5 linked regions of the Oryzias latipes genome follow. The protein of the gene in region 3 interacts with the protein of the main gene of each other region in a pairwise test. Links are inferred from orthologs where the notes say so. Each region holds a gene or a part of one and is shown on either strand. Other genes may lie near its edges.

Region 1 (4,081 bases), on a different chromosome or scaffold from region 3:
ATGACACCGGTACCGAGGTCCTTTGTTTGCCACGCCTGGTGCCTTGCAGTCACTGCAGGCAAAAGGGAATTTAACCCTCAACTCAATCCTGACATTAAGCTACACTCATTGATGCTCAGTCTGTTCTAGCATTTAGGTTGGTTTACTCTTGTGGGGGTGAAACCATGAACGGATTTCTGTTCCTACGATCCAACCTGATGGATCCGCCTGAGGAAAGTTGTTCATCGAATCAAAGTCGTAAAAATCATTGAAATAAATCGCTTATGTTGATATTGGAAAATACCATTTGGATTGAAAACGACCAATCACCGCTGACAACACATGGGATGACATCAGCAAACACGGATCAGTCTATCATTCCAGTCCAACGTGTGGAAACACTTTGAATATAGTCATGTGACCATCCAGTGAGCTAAACAACGGCGGGGACTCGTGGGCCGCCGAGGGCCGGACCAGCAGCTGATGCGTGGCGTGTCGTCCACCTCGTCAGAGAAAGAAATAACACGGAATCTGGATGAAAACATGCTTGAACTAATAAAAAATGATTTTATTTTAAAACGCAACATATTTGGATGATTTTGTTCTCATTTTAGAGCCAATGGGTTGATGTCCCTCAGGGGGGAAATAAGCCAAATTAGAGAAATGCTGCATTCAGGTGCGGTTGGAATTGTCAGAAACATCTGAAAAACAACAGATCTTCCAACACGAGTGCTGAATTACTTTCTACACCAAAGTAAAGCTCACTTTATCTGCAGAGCACCATTTATGAATTACAGGAAAAATAAAACCTTTGTAAGGATGATCAATTTAACTTTTCCCAGTTTGGCGGGCCGGATCAGATCCTTTAACGTGTGGCCCCCCGGGCCGGAGTTTGCCCACCCCTGTGCTAGAATGTTCCCTTTGGATTCTCTGGATGTGGAAACACAACAGCGCTGAAGTTTAGGAAACTAACATGTGAATGGATTTGACATTCATTCTAGTTTACTTGTTGGTTTGGACACAGATTTCATTTAACTTGATGATCTGGAAGAAATCCAAGAATCTGGAAAACTGTTCAGTAGCAGGAATTTCTGTCTGAGTCTCACTGCTGGAAGTTTGGATCAAGAGGATCTGGATCCACTTCAGGTCAGAGAATCAGAATGAAAAGATATCAAGAATAAACCGGAACCACAAGTGATATTCTTACAGCCCTATTTGTAACACGCGAACAGAGACGTGGGGAAAGTGAATGGTTGCATCTCCGATTAATACCTTTTGTTTGGAGGTCAATGCTTGGATTAATTGCTGTTTAAAATGCGAATAATGAGGCAGTTCTGTGGCGGTCAGAGCCTCACGCTAAAGTGGAAAACCGTCATTCATGCCAACGGCGCACTGACAACCAGTAAGACACACAACAGGTGAAGCTGCACAGGAGTAAATTTAGGACCATCACTGAACCCAGGGGGAGGGGGGTAGATGGAGCACATGGAACCCCCGAGTTACCAAAGTCCAGACCACTGGAGACCCATGTCTGCCTGTGGGACAAACCGGTTCAGATGTGTGGAAGCAGATGAGGAGTCTACTCGTTTCCATTGAAATAAATAGAATAATAACAATAATAACCCCCCCTCAGTGGAAGCACAGAGGGTGGGGGAAGCCTTAGGTTTGGTTTCTCAGTAAGATCAGCCAGAACTGAAACAGAAACCGTCGCCCTTCCTCATGTGAGGCATCAGCAGCCCAAAGCAGGACTGATGATGATGATGATGATGATGGTGGCGGTGAGGTCACTCCGCTTCTTCACGGAGCATCACCTCACCGACCTCACGACAGCTGTCTGGATCATCGAAACCCACCCCGTTCACAGGACCGAGCCTTCCTCCCACCAAACACCCCGAATTCAACCGAACTGTCCCGCCAACGTGACCCAAACGGGCCACGCGTGAAGACGACGAGTAGGAGGACCTAGCTTCACCCCGCTAACCAAAGCTAGCTAACCCGACCCGGTCGAACCGCTCCAAACCCGCAGCTAACTGACTCGGGCTCAGCTGGGCCCCAATTATTCTGGCTCTCCGAAGCCGGTTCTGGCCAAGCCGGACTTTGAGGCGGGCGGTAGAAACCCCGCTTACCTTGTAGAAGGCCCCGTTGGAGCCGCGAACCTCCACGGCCAGCCCGTCCATCCCCGTCGCCGGTGAGTCCGCGCGGCTGTGCTGCTGCTTGTCGTCCGTTGGCGTAACGGCTCCCTGCGGCTGCGAGTCCGGTAACGTTCCCGCCCCCAGCTTCGCCGGCCCCTCGCCGCTATCCGGCCGCTTGTGGACTTCCAGTGTTCCGGGTGGAGGACAAGAAGGGGCAGAGAGAGGTGACGGGTCCGGACCGATGGCAGGGATGATGTCTGAACCGCGGCGACGCAGACTACTACTGCCACTGCCAGCTGAGGGGGGAGAACAGCGCTCTCTTTGGGTCGGTTCTGGAGAATTCGCGACGACAACAAAGGCGCCGGCACCAGCAGAACCGAGCTAACGATGCCCAAGGAGCCGGAGGACGATGACTGATGGGTAATTAGCTTGGAGGCTAGCGTCTGTTTTCGGGAGTGCTAGCATGCTACAGTCAGATAGCCTGGCTGCGTTTGAGGGCTCGTGCGTGTGGCGTAATCTCCGCGCGGAACAGTCTCGCGCGCGTCGTCACCGGGGCGGCCGTGTCTTCGGTCGGTGGCGTGGTTCTCAGCGGCGTCTCTTCTTCACAAAGGCGTTTTTCAAAGCACCACCGCCCGGCAACTCCTCACAGCAGCCACCAATCCCCGCAAACACGCCGATTGACTGAATCGCAAAGGGACTGAATGACCTGAAAGGCCCCGCCCCCTCCCAGTGAAGCCCCGCCCGTCCTGCCCCCTATTAGCCTTCTGATTGGTCAGAACGGTCAACAATCACTTCCAGATCCCATTAATTGGTTTAGCAAATAAGGGCTGGTCCAGCGAAGGGGCCAATGAAATCCAGACAGTTGCCTACCGACGTCATTCATTGGTTGATTGTTCGTGTCAATCAAACATTTACTCATATGGACTGGCTCCCATGTCCAGGTTAGCCCACTCATGAATGAGCGAGGACCCCCACTTATTGTGTAAACACCACCACCACAGGTTACTATATATACTATACACCATGCTGGAGCTGCAAGAAAACGTTCATGCATATAAAACATGCTCCTAATATCCCCCCTAGATGCCCCCCCCCTCCCCCATTCACTACAAATGTAACAGAATGCTGGGGCATTTGAAGCAGCTGAATGAGAAGATATCCAGATTTGGACAAGGAGGCAGCTGTGGGACCAGCAGGGGAAACCGCACAGATAGCGCAAACGCCACGTATCGGCCCCTAATGCAATGTCTGCTACTGATGTCTGTGCTGCTCCTCTGAAGATCTGCGGCTAAAGATTAGGTTTGAATCACTGTCTGCAGTATTTGTGAAGCCGACCTCAGATTCCTTGGAGAAAAACCTTTCATGGAAGTACACGAACTGCACTGAGAAGATCCTGTTTGCGTCTTTTATTTTGAAAGCAGCTTCTGTCAATAGTAAAAATGCAATTTCACACTAGAGAAAATGCTAGTTTTTAAATAAACAATAAATACATACTATCACATTTTCCTAAAGCAGAGGTGAGCAAACTACACCCCAAGGGTTTCACATGCAGCCATGAAACTATTAAATCCGGCTCGCCAGAAAGATTAATGTTTTATTTTCTGGTGAGTCCCAAGATGGTGCACTACAAATACATGTACCTTTGTTTAGGTGCATAAAAGTTATTTTGCATTCAGGTGAAGTTGGAAGATTTGTTGTTTTTCTGACGTTCATGTGTGTTTTCCTTGTAGGACAGTCCGATCGTACTAACAGCACACGAACACAGCTTTTTTTCCCCTCAGTTTGTGTTTTTTCCTGAGGGACATCAACCCATCAGTGAGACTGGCAGTAAATTGAGAAAAATAAATCACAGTTTTGAAATTCCAAAATGTCCTGTTTTAAAATATATACATTTGATGTCAATCAATATTAAAGCAGGTTTTTCCAGTTCATTTTTTCTTTCTTATCAGGTGGATCAGCAAAACGAGCCA
Region 2 (3,951 bases), on a different chromosome or scaffold from region 3:
GACACATCGTCACCTGTATGTAAAAAGACAACAAAATAGGAATTGCAAAGCACTGACAGCTTATTATTTGACATTTATGAAATGTTGTTGGTAAAGGAGTGAATACGTTTAATTTACTATAACGCCAAAACGACCAACTGCCATCACAGCAGACAACACTCACACAGGATGGCAGCAAAAAATGATCAATCCATCATTACAGTTCAATGTGACGAAACACTTTGAATTATGCAAAGACATGTGACCATACAGCGTGGCAGAATGTTCTAAAAATGTTCCCTTTGGATTATTTTGATGTGGAAAAACATTAGTGGGATGAACTTTATGAAAATAAAATGTGAATGGATTTTCCATTAATTCTTGTTTACTTGTTTGTTTGTTTTTACACTTGATTATCTTGCAAGAAATAGAAGGAATCTGGAAAACTTCACCTGCACCGTTCAGTCTCCAGGTGTTTATCTCTAAGTATCACTGGTTGAATTTTTGGCTAAAGATGTCCTCGATCGAGTTTAGGCCAGTGAATCGGATCAACTCAGATCATTCAAAATGAACCAATATTAACTATGAATCATATCAGCAAACATGAATTATGATATGAATAAACACCATGAATCGTTACATCCCTACTAGAAAGACGAACTCTAAGAAATTAATATTTTGCATAACAGGGCCTGATAGAGCTCATCTAAACATGATCTGTCCTGCCTGTCTGTGTGTAAAAAATGGGCTATTGCTTGATGAACCGTAAATCATTCAAAGTATACAGCAGGATGCTGACAATTCTTCTGAATCTATCCGCAGTGCTTAGGGCTGAGTTTTGTGTTGATCTTTCTTAAGGATCTATCACTAAAATCCAGTTTGTAGTTGTTTAATTAAATTGTGTAAATGACCGTTGATTGAAACACAAAAGCTTTAAGCATAACATTTAAAATCTACAGTAAGTTTTGGATATTTAACTATATTAACATGTATTTTTAACTGAAACACGTCGTTTTTAAGTTCATACATTTAGAAATATTCTCCCAATAACCATTACAGAGAAAGTCACATGCAGGTGTTCTGTTGTTTTAATCAGAATTCAATCACAGAATTGTCTCCATGCAGCTCCAAACACAAGCCAGAACCACACGACGTTCTTCTACCGGAAACGCAGCGTTCATCAACTTCCGATGTCACGGGGTATCTGGGAGTCGGAGCAAAAAAGCGGGCACAACAAAATCTTTGCTGTTTTTGTAGACTTAAAACAGCAGAAGGCGTAAAGATTTGGATTATTGCGTCACATAAACACATATTGTGGGCCTGTGACTAAGCTGGATTCGCTTTGGGCTTCGAAAATAGTCTCATTTATTCGGATTTCGTAGCCTAGCTAGCAGCTGAGCCTCCTCGGCGGTGTGGAGCAGCAGGCCTTTCTTCTGGACTTTGCTACAAGCTAGTTAGCTGGCGTTAGCGGGCTAACTTAAGCGAGCACGTTTTTCCTTTTTCCGTATTTGTATGTGTTACATTTGAGCAAATACCACGTCACTAATGTGTGTGATACCACCTATCGTTTGATAGGTTTGTTTTTGAGCCGTGTTTTTGCTAACCGAGGTTAACTTTCCGAAGCGCTATCATTGAAGCGCTTGAATCTCAAAGTGCTCACTTTCTTGCTAGCTTAAGCTAGCCTCCGCCAACCGAACAACGCAGTCTTCGAAAGCGTAGTAGGTTTCTATCCAGAGATGTCGGATTTCGACGAATTTGAAAGACAACTGTCTGAGAACCATCAAGGTAAATGGACTAGTTACACAATTAACAATGATTGCAAAAGAGGTACATGTCATTTTTATCTCTATGGTTAGCACGTCGCGGACGTGTCTGTTTAACTGGCCTATGATCAAATAGCCTCTAAATGTACAACGCAGCTTTACAAGTTTATCGATGTTTTCCTGTAATCTGGCTTTCGGTACTGTTGTATAATGCTATTAACATTAAAATGTTTTCAATTTTGTATTATCTTGAACTCCATCGTGGTATTATTATGGCATGTCCGATTCATGTGGCGTGTAATAATATTTAAGCGGTGCTTTCTGTCATTGAATTATCATTCAGCCGCTCGTGCTCGATAGTTCCTTTTTACAAGTTCAACTGTTTATCTTTATACATTCTCTACTGCAGTTTTTGCAATAGTCCTTTCAGTTTCATATTGTGTTTATGCTACTGATACAAATTCTTGCTTCTTTAATATAGCTGGTTTCCTGTACTCTCCTCTTTTATCTTCCTTTTTTTCCCACCTATCTGCAGATGCATCGTCTTGTAGCATGATTAACATAAAAATGTACTTTTAAGAGAAATAACCTCATTTATGCACATTTTCCTTCTACTTGATTACTACTTGATTTATCTTTTCACTTTGTGTTCATACCTGTAAGACCATTTATGAAAATTAAAATTAAACATCGAGAACATGTCTAAATTCAGCTCGCTTTAATTTGCTTTTATGAACAATATTTCTGGGGTTATGTTTTTTAAGAAGATTTTTGTTTTAATGAAAAACACTTTATACTTTTATACTTCATAGTTACTGAGCACCGCTCTTTTGCCACAGAAAGGGACAAAGAAAACCGGCACCATCGTCGTTCTTCATCCCGCAGCCGCAGCAGAGAGAGGAAGAAGAGGAGCAGGGATGGCGGGGAAAGACGCAGCAGGGACCGCCGTGGGGACAGTAAGGAGCGGAGACACCGGCGCAAGTCAGTACATCTACACCAATCCTCCTGTTTAAAAACAAGCTGTTATGTGTAAAATCTCTTATCAACTGTCCAGCAATAACATGGCAACGTTAAGTCTCTTTATTAACTTTATTGTAATGTCTGCAGTCTACATGCATCATTACATTGTTCACACAAATGCACCAGTTATGTATGTTTGTTCTGATGAGCTTTTGATTTCATTTGATTTATTCGTTTTTTTTTCCCTACTTCTTTTGAAATTAGAAGAGAATTCTCACTTGTTTGTTTTGAAGTGCATTGATATTCAAGTGTGACTGGAAATGCAGTGTTTTTTATTTTATTTATGAATCATAACTCAAAAAGTTTGTTTGATTCATATAAGAAATCTAAATCTCTTCCTCCAATTTGTCATTTCAGCTCGCCACCCGCCTACCCTCAAGAAAATACTGCAAGGTAACAGAAAACTTAACACAAAGCTGGCAGTTGCAGAAACTGTACATTGACACTCCTATCACTTTAAAGACAATTTACACATGTTCAAGTAATTTGTTTTTGGGTATTGTCCATTTTTCTGTCTTTTTTGTCACTTTTACTATGTTGAAATCGATGCAACCTTCTTTAAAAAAAAGTTCATTTTCTCCTAATGTTTATTTTTTTTTCTTCCCTCTTACAGCCGATCTCCCCATCGTGAAAAGAAGAAGAAGATCAAGAAGTATTGGGATGTTCCTCCTCCTGGTTTTGAGCATATCACTCCCATGCAGTACAAAGCCATGCAAGGTAACTCTTATCTGTTTCCAGTGTATTTAATTCACAAATGTGTACACATAACATGCTAAAGGCCTGTTCACACCGGGACGAATTTCGCCGGCGATTTTCGCCGACGTTTAACGCCTCGTGACTAAACAAAGGGCACGAAAAAACGTGCACGCGTTAAAGCGTAAAAAAAAAAACGCCTCGGGTTCGTTTTTTTTTCGACGCGACGCGTCGCGTCGAAATCTACTCGACCAATGAGAATGGCACTTTTGCTCACGTGTCTGGAGCTTCTGAAGTTACAGTAAAACACAACTTGGGGGCGCTCAAACACAAAACTGCCTTGCTGAGCACACATACCAGCGAAGAAGATAGACGCCAAGTAGCGTCTACACAGCCGCGAAGCAATAATGACGGACATTCTAAAATATCCCCGAACCAAGCACCAGTTGGAGCTACTGGTGCTTGAAATATTCATGTTTTCTTTGTTTGATTCTGA
Region 3 (3,513 bases):
AATGGCTGATTTTGATTATTTAGTTTTCAATACATTTTAACTTATTGTTACTTTTGAATGTTTCAAGTCATTTCAGTGAGCATTGGGGACTTTCTGTCTTTAACTGAGGGGTACCAACAATTTTGTCCACCACTGTATTTAAAGCACAGATGTGTCTGCTTCTTTGCTTTCATACACAAACATGGGAATCACAGTATGAATCTGGATCCATAGGATGTAGGACATGAAGATTTAAATCCTCACCTTCGTCACGGGAGTAATCCTCTCCAGAATGAGGCTCAAACAGGTAATCTCCCGTGGCCAGCTCAAAGGCCTAAACAGACAAGCAAACAGTAAAACAGCGATTCCTTTCAGTGGACGGTTTACTTAATAAACCTTCCTCACCATACAGGCAGTACTCCAGATGTCAGCCGGAGTGCTGTAGCCCGCTCCAATCAGGACCTCGATGGACCGGTACTGCCTCGTCTGGATATCCTCAGTAAAGTGTTTATGCTTTTGATGAGAGGAAACAAGAGGAAAAATGACTTTAGTTTAGGGTAGAAATAATGATCAAATCGTGTTGTCCTGGTGACTGACTTGAGACCAGGATTGTTGTCGTTGCTGATCTGAGTTTGGGAGTTTTAACATCTTGGAAATTTGTTTATAACATTTAATGAATTTGCTTCTAGCATTTGTGAATACAGAGGACACCTTTATTTAGAATTCATTTAGAGGGATCGTGAAGAAAACAACTATGAAACTGAGAAAAAATACCTAACTCTGAGCAAAATCCTTCTTTCCATCAGTCAAATTTACTCAAATCTGCAAAGCAAATCAACCTAAAAATATTAGTTTTTTTCCCCCACTAAATTGTAGTGGTTGTGTTGGATTTTTTTTTCTTATTAGAAATGTTTGCAGACTGTAAGCTGTTTTTTATACTGTTATGCATAAAAAGTCTGAAGAAACTCTGAACTCCCGTGCAAAGGATTTAGGATAGAGTAGGATAAAATAGAATAGAATAGAACTTTATTCATCCCACAGAGCGGAAATTGTCTTGTTACCGCAGCTCTATCAAAAACAGCAGATGTATATTAAATAACACTAAAACAATCCTGGTTTGAATCAAACTCAGTCAGATTATTTCACATTGCGTCTTACCACCCAGCAGGCATTTCCAAGGTCAGCGATTTTGACTCTGATGGAGTCGGCGTTTTGGGGGTCTAGAGGGTTAATCAGGAGGTCTGCAGCTCTGGCCCTGACTGAAGGGGGACAGAAGGAAACGGTTTACACAGTATTAAAGGGTTTCTACACACAGCACAGACACAAAATGAACTCTCAAGAGATTTTATTGAAATTCCTAAACCAGAATCTACTTCAAAAGCTGTTAGGATTATGAAACTAAACCGACGGAACCGACGCTGAATCAGAAATAACAATCTGGGGAGAAAATTAGTCAAAATTGTGATTCTTATCAGCATACAAATAAAGTATTATGAAAAAATATTCAATGTAAAAACAATCATGTGTTGGTTGAGATTGAAAAGAAAGATCTAGATTAAAAAAACTGACATGTTACATCATATGGCACTTTATTTTTTTACAAATATATAATCCTGGATTACAGATTTAAAAGATCACTTAAAAATAGCCTGTAAAATCCACAGGGAAACTTACTGAACAAAATAAGAAAAACAATATTAACCTAACATACTAATCTAAGCCATTATTCATCTTTAAGTTAACATGGATGGTAAATATTTTTGTACATCATAGCAGCACTGAAAGATAACTCTTCCAGTTTAAAGCATATGTTTTGCAAAAGCTATAATTCAGCATTTATTATTTGTTCTATTTTCTTCTGCTGGGATTCCACAGGATGCGATGAAAGCAAAGATAACAGGAACCATTATCTATCTACATTCAAAAAAAGGAGACTATTGGTCAAAAGGAATCAAATTAATGTAGTTTCAAACGGTTTTCTGTCACTGGACTTTTTCACTTTACAGTAGATGTTTTTCTGTGACATTGAGGACGAGATTTCTAATTTTGAAGCTGTAGCCTCATAAAAAAAAAAAATCTCTGAAACACGGCGCAAACATAAAAAACAGACATCAAATGAAAATACACTGACCAAAAATATAAACGCAACACTTTTGTTATTGCTCCCATTTTTTATGGTATGAACTCAAAGATGTGAAACATTTTCCACATACACAAAATAACCTGTTCTCTGAAATATTGTTCACAAATCTGTCTAAATCTGTGATAGTGAGCACTTCTCCTTTGACAAGACAATCCATCCCACCTCACAGGTGTGCCATATCAAGATGCTGATTAGACAGCATGATTATTGCACAGGTGTGCCTTATACTGGCCACAAGAAAAGGCCACTCTGAAATCTTCAGTTGTTTCACACAGCAGAATGCCACAGATGTCGCAAGTTTTGAGGGAGCGTGCAATTGGCATGCTGATAGCAGGAATGTCCACCAGAGCTGTTGCTAGGGAATTGAATGTCCATTTCTCCACCATAAGCCGTCTCCAAAGGCGTTTCCGAGAATTTGGCAGCACATCCAACCGGCCTCACAACCGCAGACCACGTGTAACCACACCAGCCCAAGACCTCCACATCCAGCATGTCCACCTCCAAGATCGTCTGAGACCAGCCACTCGGACAGCTGCTGAAACAATCGGTTTGCATAACCACAGAATTTCTGCACAAACTGTCAGAAACCGTCTCAGGGAAGCTCATCTGCATGCTCGTCGTCCTCATCGAGGTCTCGACCTCACTTCAGTTTGTCGTCGTAACCGACTTGAGTGGGCAAAGTCTCACATGCGATGGCGTCTGGCACGTTGGAGAGGTGTTCTCTTCAAGGATGAATCCCGGTTTACACTGTTCAGGGCAGATGGCAGACAGCGTGATACCATGACGAGATCCTGGGGCCCATTGTTGTGCCGTACATCCAACAACATCACCTCGTGTTGCAGCATGATAATGCACGGCCCCATGTTGCAAGGATCTGTACACAATTCTTGGAAGCTGAAAACATCCCAGTTCTTGCATGGCCAGCATACTCACCGGACATGTCACCCATTGAGCATGTCTGGGATGCTCTGGATCGGCATATACGACGGCGTGTTCCAGTTCCTGCCAATATCCAGCAACTTCGCACAGCCATAGAAAAAGAGCGGACCAACATTCTACAGGCCACAATAGACAACCTGATCAACTCTATGCGAAGGAGATGTGTCGCACTTCATGAGGCAAATGGTGGTCACACCAGATACTGACTGGTTGTCTGAGTCCCCTGACCCCCTCAATAAAACAAAACTGAAGATTTCAGAGTGGCCTTTTCTTGTGGCCAGTATAAGGCACACCTGTGCAATAATCATGCTGTCTAATCAGCATCTTGATATGGCACACCTGTGAGGTGGGATGGATTGTCTTGTCAAAGGAGAAGTGCTCACTATCACAGATTTAGAAGGATTGGGGAACAATATTTCAGAGAACTGGTTATTTTGTGTATGTGGAAAATG
Region 4 (4,256 bases), on a different chromosome or scaffold from region 3:
CTCAGACAAGTTTTGGTAGGCTCTTATCATCATCTGCATCTCATTTCTGACCCGGCACAACAGCAGACCTCTCTCCGCACATTCAATGGTTACCTGTCTGATGAGTTCATCTCAAAAAGGAAATAAGATGCATAATACATTTATATTTCATAACTATCCACATTTTTACTCGGAGATGAGCTTTGTCCCGACCCTCCGCTGTCTTACCGAAACACTGGGAAAACAGAACCCAGCGGATGGGGCAGATGCCAGTTGGTTTGGCCTTTTTCTGCTTTAGCTTTATGTTCAGCTGCTCCTGCAGATGAATGACATCTTTCCTCGTGGTAATGGCTGTAGATACTTTCTGCACCCACTGTTGGTCCCCCTCTGTCCATTCTCTGTAATGGTAAGAAATCAGAATTTACTTGGAAAATCATTTGACAGTAACTTTTGGATGCTTTCGGGATCTTAGATTGTGTGTCAGCTTTTTATTTTTGAATTAAGTAAAAAGCAGACGTATGTGTGATAATGCACCTGTGGGCAATATTTGCTGTCAAGACTTGATCTTTTTAAGTTGATGAAAGTTGGACATTCACTGAGCTACAGGACCTTTCCTCTTTTCCTTGTTAGACATTAGGATTTGTTGGTGATCTTTGGATCACATAAAAACTACATTTGTTCCAACTGTAGCTGTTCCACTGTGTTGTTTAAAGTTTTTTGAGTTACATGGCATGAAAAGCATCTGTTTTACAAAAAAAAAGCCTGATTTTATTTGATTTCCCAGATTTGACTTTTGAGAAATAAAAGTTGAGGATGGTCATTGTGCTCTGGTGCATGCCACAGTCTATGTTTGTCTGCATAACTTAGGAAGAAGAATAAATAATAATGAATCTAGAATAAATAAATCTGAATCGTTGTGCTTAGGTGAGCTTTTGAGGTTTTCTTTTACCTAGGTGGTAAGATGGCATGCAAAATGTTTTCATCCAAATTCTGTGTAGGGGGAGATGGAACACCTGCTGCAAAGCTGGGAGCTGGAAGGTTGCTCAACGTTAGAGTACGTCCCTATTAACGAAAAAAAAGGGGGGAAAATTGTACATTTATTTGTATTATTATTTTTTTGTAATTTCTTTTATTATTTTTGAAGATTTTATTTGGTAGCCTTTCATTGTCCACAATAAAGAAATTATGGAAGTACAATGAGATTTCTAGCCTTAATTGATATAGTTTCTGGGCGCCAGTTAAATAGATCATTAACCATCAAGACTTACCTTTTGAGATTTTTTATCTCCTTTTGTTTTTACCAATATCGGATTATCGTATTTCAAGAGGGACTCGCCAAAAGAAGTCATCGTTTTGAGGTGAGAGAGCAAGTTACACGTTTTGTTAGAAATACCGTTTCACTGTTTGTGTTGTCATGGCGACACTTTTTCAAAATAAAATAATATTGATTTGAACAAAGTTTCATTTAAGAATACTTTTTATGTAATACGACACGTATATGTGTCATCAATGCTTCAGTCTATGACAAAAAAAACTTGAACATCACGTTTTCCCCATTTAAAACGAATTAGGCCATGGCGGAACCAACAATAGGGAGCACATGGAGCACGTCGAGGGGATTAATTTGAGTCACCGGAAACGGAAGTTTGTTTTCACAACGCCAGAAGTTTGGTAACGCATCAAAGGTTTTATTTTTTATCTTGGCTTGTCTTTGTCTAGCTACTGTGTCGTGTTTTGGTTGAATTGAGCTCAAATTTATTGGAAAAATAAACTAAAATGACTAAAGAAAAGCGAGACAGAAGAAGGGAGTCTCCAGAACGGCAGCCCGAAGTGAAGATAAAGCAGGAGAAACTGAGCCCGAGTAGCACTAGCAGGCCACACAGATCACGCAGTCCACAGGGGAGACGAGCTAGCAGGTAAATGTCTGAAGGTTTTACTACGATTCATGACGTAAAACTGTCTAAATATAAAACAATTCACAACATTATTTTTTTGTTGTACTTTCGCTGATGAAAATCTAGCTTCCGGTTTTCATTTTTGACGGTTACGGAATAAACACTTAACGTAAGGGATACCCGGTTGCTCCAAAAGAGTTTTGATCTGAGGTTTCTGTAAATCAAATAATCCTTAACACGTTTGTGTCAAAAGTAGTATAAGTATCTGACTCGTATCAAGTAAATCTTGTTTATTGTTCTAAGATATTTTATTACCGTCTTGCTGATAAATCAAGGTTAGACTAGAGACATAAAATTTGCTTTAATTTTTTTTTTTATTGAAATATACTCATTACAAAACTCTGGCAGACACAACAACACAATGATGCAAGGCACAGCTCTTCACGAAAAACAAAGATAAAAAAAAAACAAGAATGTATACATATATAAAAAAAACTATCAGCATAAATTAAAATACAAGGCAATCAACAATCTGGACCCTAGATTTGTAACCATTCTGTAGCAGATTTACAAATGTCATCAATGAAAGAATTTGAGTTGTGAATACATTTCAATGAGGATAAATACAATCTGACTTCATTTTTAAAACACAGGAAATTCGGCCGATCTTTTTTCCACTTTTGCTTATGAATATATTTTCCCAAAATCAGGAGGATGTTCACTATTTGTTGGCTCTTTTGGCAACTTACTGTTTTAAAACAAAATATGTTTTTCTGTGAATTGTATGTTGTTAATTTTTTGACTAAGCCAATTATGAAAATCTTGCCAGAATCTTTCACTGGTCTGGACATGAAAAAAACAGGTGTTGGGTTGTTTCTGGGGTTACCTGACAGAAATCACACGGATCAACCTCAAAGCCAAATCTACTTCTCAATGTCTCTGCCGATGGGTAATAATTGTTTATAATTTTGAACTGCATTTCTTTAATTTTGGGAACCACTGGCCATTTTATGAATTTCCATAGTTGAGCATCTGATGTGACAGGTGTCTCAGTTATTTTATATTTCACTTTTCTGTTAAAGTCATGGTATAATTTACCTCTAAAGGATTTGTTTAGCAATTTATTATCACGTTTTTTTTCACTAAATTTTATTTCTCCTATTACTAAATTTGGTAGTTTAATTTGAACATAGGAAGACAATATTGTATTTTTTATTAAATGTATTGAAGCAATTGGAATTGCTCAGCAGGTTTTCTGAAATTCCTCGGTTGAGCATTCAATATCATATTTACCTTTGAAGTCTCTTAACTGAAGAATTTCTCCATTTGAATCAAGAATATCACTTACAAAATGATCTTAAGATAAATATACTTTATTGATCCCAGCTTGGGAAATTGGGTTGATGCAGCGTCGGCGTTAGGCTCAAGGTACAAACATACAAACAATAGATGACAACAGAGAACCAGAACAATTTTATTTATTTTTTTATTTGAAATGGTTTATTTCAAGCAATTAAGTAGAAATAATACACAACAGCAATATAATCATCAGTTATACATTCATACAGTAACTAATCAAACTTAGGATAATTATACATATTAATAAATATTGCTTGAAAGGGAGTGGAAGGAAGCGAATTTATATAATCCCACCCCGTTATACTGTAACCATTTTATTACATGATTTATCAATATCCGGTTCCCAGTTTATATCATACAGAATTAAAAATCATAAGATATCGATAAAGCACATGACAAAGATGAATTACTTAAGTATTACGTCAAAAATAACTATTTTAGAAATCAACATGGCAAATGCAGATCAGTCATCTGAAATATATGCAGATTATGTTACTTATAAAAGCCATTCATATGAATAAAACATAATACTATATCAGTAAAGTAGACACAACACTGTTTCAGGAATTTTCATAGCAAAATTTCATCAAGTATCAAAAGTTAAAAACATGTGCAAAATTATGCTACATTAGGAAAGATTTTTGAATCAATTTATCAATTTTTGGAGAAAGTGAAATAAAATCATTAAAAGGCAATCAATTTAACAATTTTCAATAAGTCATTAATCATTTGTTTTACTTTTTTAAATATTTTTTTTGTATTTTTATTATTATTTTTTTTATAATAAAGTAATGCTGTAGGGGGAAAGTAAAAAGGGTCCATAACTGTCGATTGTCCAAGGTTGGTCTTTCTTCTTTAACTGATAACAGCCGTACTTCTGGGTTCAAAACAGAGTTTATAGTTCTCTTCGATGTTATGACTGCAGACATTAGATTCAGGTCCATATCCTTCTTCAGCTGATATCAGCGACGGTGAAAGTTGAGGTCAAGTTGTCTGCAGGTCAGAACTCTCTGCTGTTATTCA
Region 5 (3,990 bases), on a different chromosome or scaffold from region 3:
CACACACACACACACACAGCAGGCCCAGACAGGTGGAGGACAGAGTGTAGGTACATAAAAACATCAATTTCCACACTTCTATTAGCCCTGGGTCCAGTGGACCCGAACATCTTATATGTAATAGAAATGTGTTGGGGGGGGTATACGGTGTGTGGTCATTAAAAATGTATTCTGATATCTGTTCTTCACAGAAAATGAGCCAAGGCCAGTGAGTCTGAGTTTGAAAAATTAATTAATTGTATCATTTTTCTTTTGATAAAAAATGAAAACGGGTCCCACAGACCCGAACACCACATAAGGGTTAAAAGTATTTTTGTGACTAGAAATCAGAATAATAGTTGAGCCGGATCACAAGATGACAGAAATCAGAATCAAGATGTTTCATAGGTTTTATTCTCAAAATTCTTCAAAAAAAAAAATCAACTCGAATGAAGGAATCACAAAATCTTGTTAGATGTCATCAGACATAACATAAAAACTACAGTCAATTTTCAGCACAAAATTTAAAAAAAAAGAAAGAATTTTTCTCGTCTCCTTGTCACTACGAACTCAGCTAAATTTACTGCAATTTATATAGATCCTTTGTGTCCGAGGAGCCAGGAAATGCGAAAACTGCAGCTGATCTGCGGCGAGTATTTAGAGTAAAGACAACTTTCTATCTGGAGGAATTTGAGCTTGAACGAGAGCGATGGCGCCTGCGGCCAGGAGACCTAGAGCGAGAGCGGCGACGTGGTGGCGAGCGCCTCCTTGGGGAGCGTGATCTAAACAGGCACAAAAAAAGGACGAGCATCAGTAGGTGGGAGAAGATTCCGTTTCAATGGACCGCATAATAAAACGTTAAAAATATTAAAAAGGTACAAGTGAAAGCTTTTAAATAACCTTCTTCTCATGCGTGGTGGGCTGCGGCGCCACATCGGTGGAGGTGGCGGCATTCTTCGAGGAGGAGACAGTCTACGTGGAGGACCACGGATCAGCTGAGTCAGCACAGCAGCTGCAGTGATTTCCTGCCCGTCAATCTGACCTAAAAAAGTCATCAGGAAGGTTTGTTTTTACCTGACCAAGTTTATGTTCGTCAATATGATTTCTCCAGCCCCTTAAATGATTCTTTCCTACCTCCATCCATGTGTTTAAGAGCTTTCTGGGCTTCTTCAGGGGTCTCAAACTCCACGTAAGCAAAGCCTTTGGTCAGGTTTGGGAAGAGCCTTTCCACCGGCATGTCAACCGCTTTAATTTTTCCATATGTAGAGAAAATCTCCTGGATGTGTTCCTAGTAAATTGAAACATACATTTAGTTTTTAACCATTATTTTGTGAAGGATTGTTCCATTAAAAAAAACTAAAAACAAAATATTTAGCTTTTTATTTAATTCTTGCAGTTTTAGGCGCACATCTTGACAGACAATAAACATAAAGAATATTTCATTCTAACTAGTTATCATGAAAAATAAGATCTGCTTTTATTGAATTAGAATTTTTTTTTTAAAAATCAAAGATTTAGCTTTTGTTTGTTTTTTTAGCTTGCCTTGGTTACATTCCTGGTCAGCCTTCCCAAGTGAACCTTTGTGGGTTTAGGGGTGGGACTTCTTTTTCTTCGTTCTCTTTCTTCTCCTCTCTTCTGTGTTTTAGAACTGCAGGATAAAAAATTACAGAATAAATATTGTCAATATTTTTGAGATACAATATAAATATTTGTCTCATGTCTGAGAAAATGGACTGACGGAGATCGTGAACGGCGTCGGTTGTCATGGCGTCTGCGGCTGGGACTTGGAGAGGCCGAAGAGCTGGAGGAGGAGGAAGACCGAGAGCTAGAGGATCCGGAGCGACTGGAAGAGGAGCTGGAACCACTTGAAGAACCAGAGCTAGAACCAGAGCTGCTGCTGGAGGATGAGCTAGATCTAGATGTGGAAGGTCAAAAACAAACAATGATTTAGTTGGGAATGAACATCCAGGACAGGATGCTATATTATATTTTTAAATATAAGAAAGAAAAAATAGCTCACCTGCTGCTGCTGCCTGATGAAGCACTGCGGCGTTTCTTTGCTTTGTCGCGACCCCTTTCCTTGTCTCCTTCCTTTATTTTTTCTTTTTCCCTGTTTTTCTTTTCATCTTCCTTTCGCTTTATCGGTAATGGTGCCCTGATGTGGCGAGAAAGCACATAAATTAGAGACCTAGAAACCTAAAAAAGTGATTATGTCTAGGTTTATGTAAAGGATTGTGATTTATGTTTTTATTGGATAGAGAGAAACAGCCTTAAAATGTGCTAGATACAAATTTTTTGCACCAAAAAGGTCATTAATTAAATTTAACTCGTTAATTACTTGAATATATATAACTTTTTCATTTCATTTTTATCTAATTAATTCAAAATTGTTTCGGTGTTTTTTTTTTTTTTACCGACATTTAACATGTGCACAATAAATTGTAATTATTTTAAGCTTAATTCCAAATGTTTAGGACCGTAAATTACATAATATTTTCCCTTACACTAATATTTTCATTCAGAAAAAAAAAAACCTTCTATTTGGACTCGTTCCCTCGTTGTTTTTTTTGAGCACAACAAGGGACTAAACTACACCCGCGTCGCGGTTAAACGACTTCTTCCTTTATAAGGAACTTTCGCGCAAAATAAAAAAGCCTCCGAACTTACATGTTTAAATCAACAAGTTCCGCTATTAAAGCTATTTAGATCGAAAATACGTAAAAAGGTTAATCTTACATTCCAACGGCCAAAAATGGCTTCACTTGCGGTCTGGTGTGAGGTCGCGAAGTGATGATGAAAGCGGATGTTACGTAATTTTTTATTTTAACTTTAAACAAACGCACACACAAAAGCTACAACAGAAAAAAAGAAAAAAGAAGAAAATAGAAATAAATAAATAAATAAAAATAATATAATTGTAGTTTACAATACAAGGGATTTTCATACAACGCGTGATCTTCAATGAAAATAGACATTTTATTGCATTTTTGCTTTTTATTAATATCAGAGATTTTTAATATAAACTGATCTCAATATGAAATGTATTGAATAATGGTTTTGTTTTTGAAAATCTGCTCTCATCAATGAAAAATTTCCCAGATATTAATAAAGTATTGAATGTCAAATCAAATATATTATCAACAGAAACTACTCCAAATAATATGATCTGCTTTTGTAATTGAATATAAATAGGAAAGGGAAACTTTGAGGAGCAACAAGAAAAGAAATTCTCCCAAAAACTGTTAACATATATACATTCAAAAAAACAGATGATCAAGTGTTTCTATATTTATGTCACAGAAAGAACAGTTATTTTCTGGAAAACCAAAACGTATATGTATAGTAGTTCCTTGTATGGATAGACTGCATACATTATTTTAAAATGGATTTCTTTGTATTTTGGAAAAATTTAATATTTAGTAAATTCAGATCTTAAAACGATATATATATATATATATATATATATATATATATATATATCGTTGTTGTTTTTTTTTTCTTGCCAACTTTTTTTGTAAACATACACGACACAAGTGTGGATGAATGAAAAAGTTATAATACAAATCCATGCAGACCTTACATATAGTCACAGCACTGGAGCATCGCATTTTGAGTTATTGTTGCAATTTTTTAAATATGTACAGTCTAATCAAAAGATTTTTAATAAATATTACAATTCCAAAGTAGGTGACTGAGTTTTTGGGTTTTCTTTCACAGAATGTTAACAAACTTTAATATATTTTACAATGTTAAATATCTTGACTAGTATTATTCTGTGCAGAAATTGAGAGGAGATATCGCTCATCTTGTCATTAATCAACTATTTCTGATGCAATGAAAGTTCTTTCCATAGCAAGTCAGAGACAAAAGTATTTCACTAAAAGACAACAAAATGTTCTGAAATAACATCTCGTTGAAACAAGGCACATATGACTTTGTTATTCTCCTGAGTAAATTTGAAACAAGATTTTCCAACAGGGGTGTAACTGATTTTCTCTTTTCATCTTCTTT

What was found.
Region 1: the proteins of SRSF protein kinase 2 (region 3) and fragile X mental retardation syndrome-related protein 1 interact in binary tests that used the Homo sapiens proteins (3 or more experiments, as listed by UniProt). The link is inferred for Oryzias latipes from reciprocal best matches to the Homo sapiens genes SRPK2 and FXR2.
Region 2: the proteins of SRSF protein kinase 2 (region 3) and u2af2 interact in binary tests that used the Homo sapiens proteins (3 or more experiments, as listed by UniProt). The link is inferred for Oryzias latipes from reciprocal best matches to the Homo sapiens genes SRPK2 and U2AF2.
Region 4: the proteins of SRSF protein kinase 2 (region 3) and snip1 interact in binary tests that used the Homo sapiens proteins (3 or more experiments, as listed by UniProt). The link is inferred for Oryzias latipes from reciprocal best matches to the Homo sapiens genes SRPK2 and SNIP1.
Region 5: the proteins of SRSF protein kinase 2 (region 3) and rnps1 interact in binary tests that used the Homo sapiens proteins (3 or more experiments, as listed by UniProt). The link is inferred for Oryzias latipes from reciprocal best matches to the Homo sapiens genes SRPK2 and RNPS1.

What each region holds. Positions count from the first base shown.
Region 1 is NC_019876.2:28,852,817-28,856,897, reverse strand, and holds the start of fragile X mental retardation syndrome-related protein 1, read right to left. Parts: upstream 2,808-4,081; 5' UTR 2,157-2,807; coding exon 2,106-2,156; intron 1-2,105. UniProt on the Homo sapiens protein: mRNA-binding protein that acts as a regulator of mRNAs translation and/or stability, and which is required for adult hippocampal neurogenesis. Specifically binds to AU-rich elements (AREs) in the 3'-UTR of target mRNAs.
Region 2 is NC_019874.2:19,813,355-19,817,305, reverse strand, and holds the start of u2af2 (splicing factor U2AF 65 kDa subunit), read left to right. Parts: upstream 1-1,140; 5' UTR 1,141-1,715; coding exon 1,716-1,764; intron 1,765-2,554; coding exon 2,555-2,723; intron 2,724-3,119; coding exon 3,120-3,155; intron 3,156-3,375; coding exon 3,376-3,479; intron 3,480-3,951. UniProt on the Homo sapiens protein: Plays a role in pre-mRNA splicing and 3'-end processing. By recruiting PRPF19 and the PRP19C/Prp19 complex/NTC/Nineteen complex to the RNA polymerase II C-terminal domain (CTD), and thereby pre-mRNA, may couple transcription to splicing.
Region 3 is NC_019864.2:11,774,236-11,777,748, forward strand, and holds part of SRSF protein kinase 2, read right to left. Parts: intron 1,239-3,513; coding exon 1,138-1,238; intron 493-1,137; coding exon 385-492; intron 314-384; coding exon 244-313; intron 1-243. UniProt on the Homo sapiens protein: Serine/arginine-rich protein-specific kinase which specifically phosphorylates its substrates at serine residues located in regions rich in arginine/serine dipeptides, known as RS domains and is involved in the phosphorylation of SR splicing factors and the regulation of splicing.
Region 4 is NC_019874.2:23,603,909-23,608,164, reverse strand, and holds the start of snip1 (smad nuclear-interacting protein 1), read left to right. Parts: upstream 1-1,451; 5' UTR 1,452-1,579; coding exon of another isoform or gene 1,580-1,650; 5' UTR 1,651-1,755; coding exon 1,756-1,895; intron 1,896-4,256. Other genes in the region: dnali1 (axonemal dynein light intermediate polypeptide 1), read right to left, coding at 1-110, 208-377, 929-1,041, 1,248-1,328. UniProt on the Homo sapiens protein: Required for pre-mRNA splicing as component of the spliceosome. As a component of the minor spliceosome, involved in the splicing of U12-type introns in pre-mRNAs. Down-regulates NF-kappa-B signaling by competing with RELA for CREBBP/EP300 binding.
Region 5 is NC_019866.2:11,024,500-11,028,489, forward strand, and holds rnps1 (RNA-binding protein with serine-rich domain 1), read right to left. Parts: upstream 2,810-3,990; 5' UTR 2,718-2,809; coding exon 2,716-2,717; exon of another isoform or gene 2,649-2,715; coding exon of another isoform or gene 2,647-2,648; intron 2,135-2,646; coding exon 2,000-2,134; intron 1,895-1,999; coding exon 1,718-1,894; intron 1,628-1,717; coding exon 1,522-1,627; intron 1,268-1,521; coding exon 1,114-1,267; intron 1,022-1,113; coding exon 880-1,021; intron 762-879; coding exon 656-761; 3' UTR 372-655; downstream 1-371. UniProt on the Homo sapiens protein: Part of pre- and post-splicing multiprotein mRNP complexes. Auxiliary component of the splicing-dependent multiprotein exon junction complex (EJC) deposited at splice junction on mRNAs.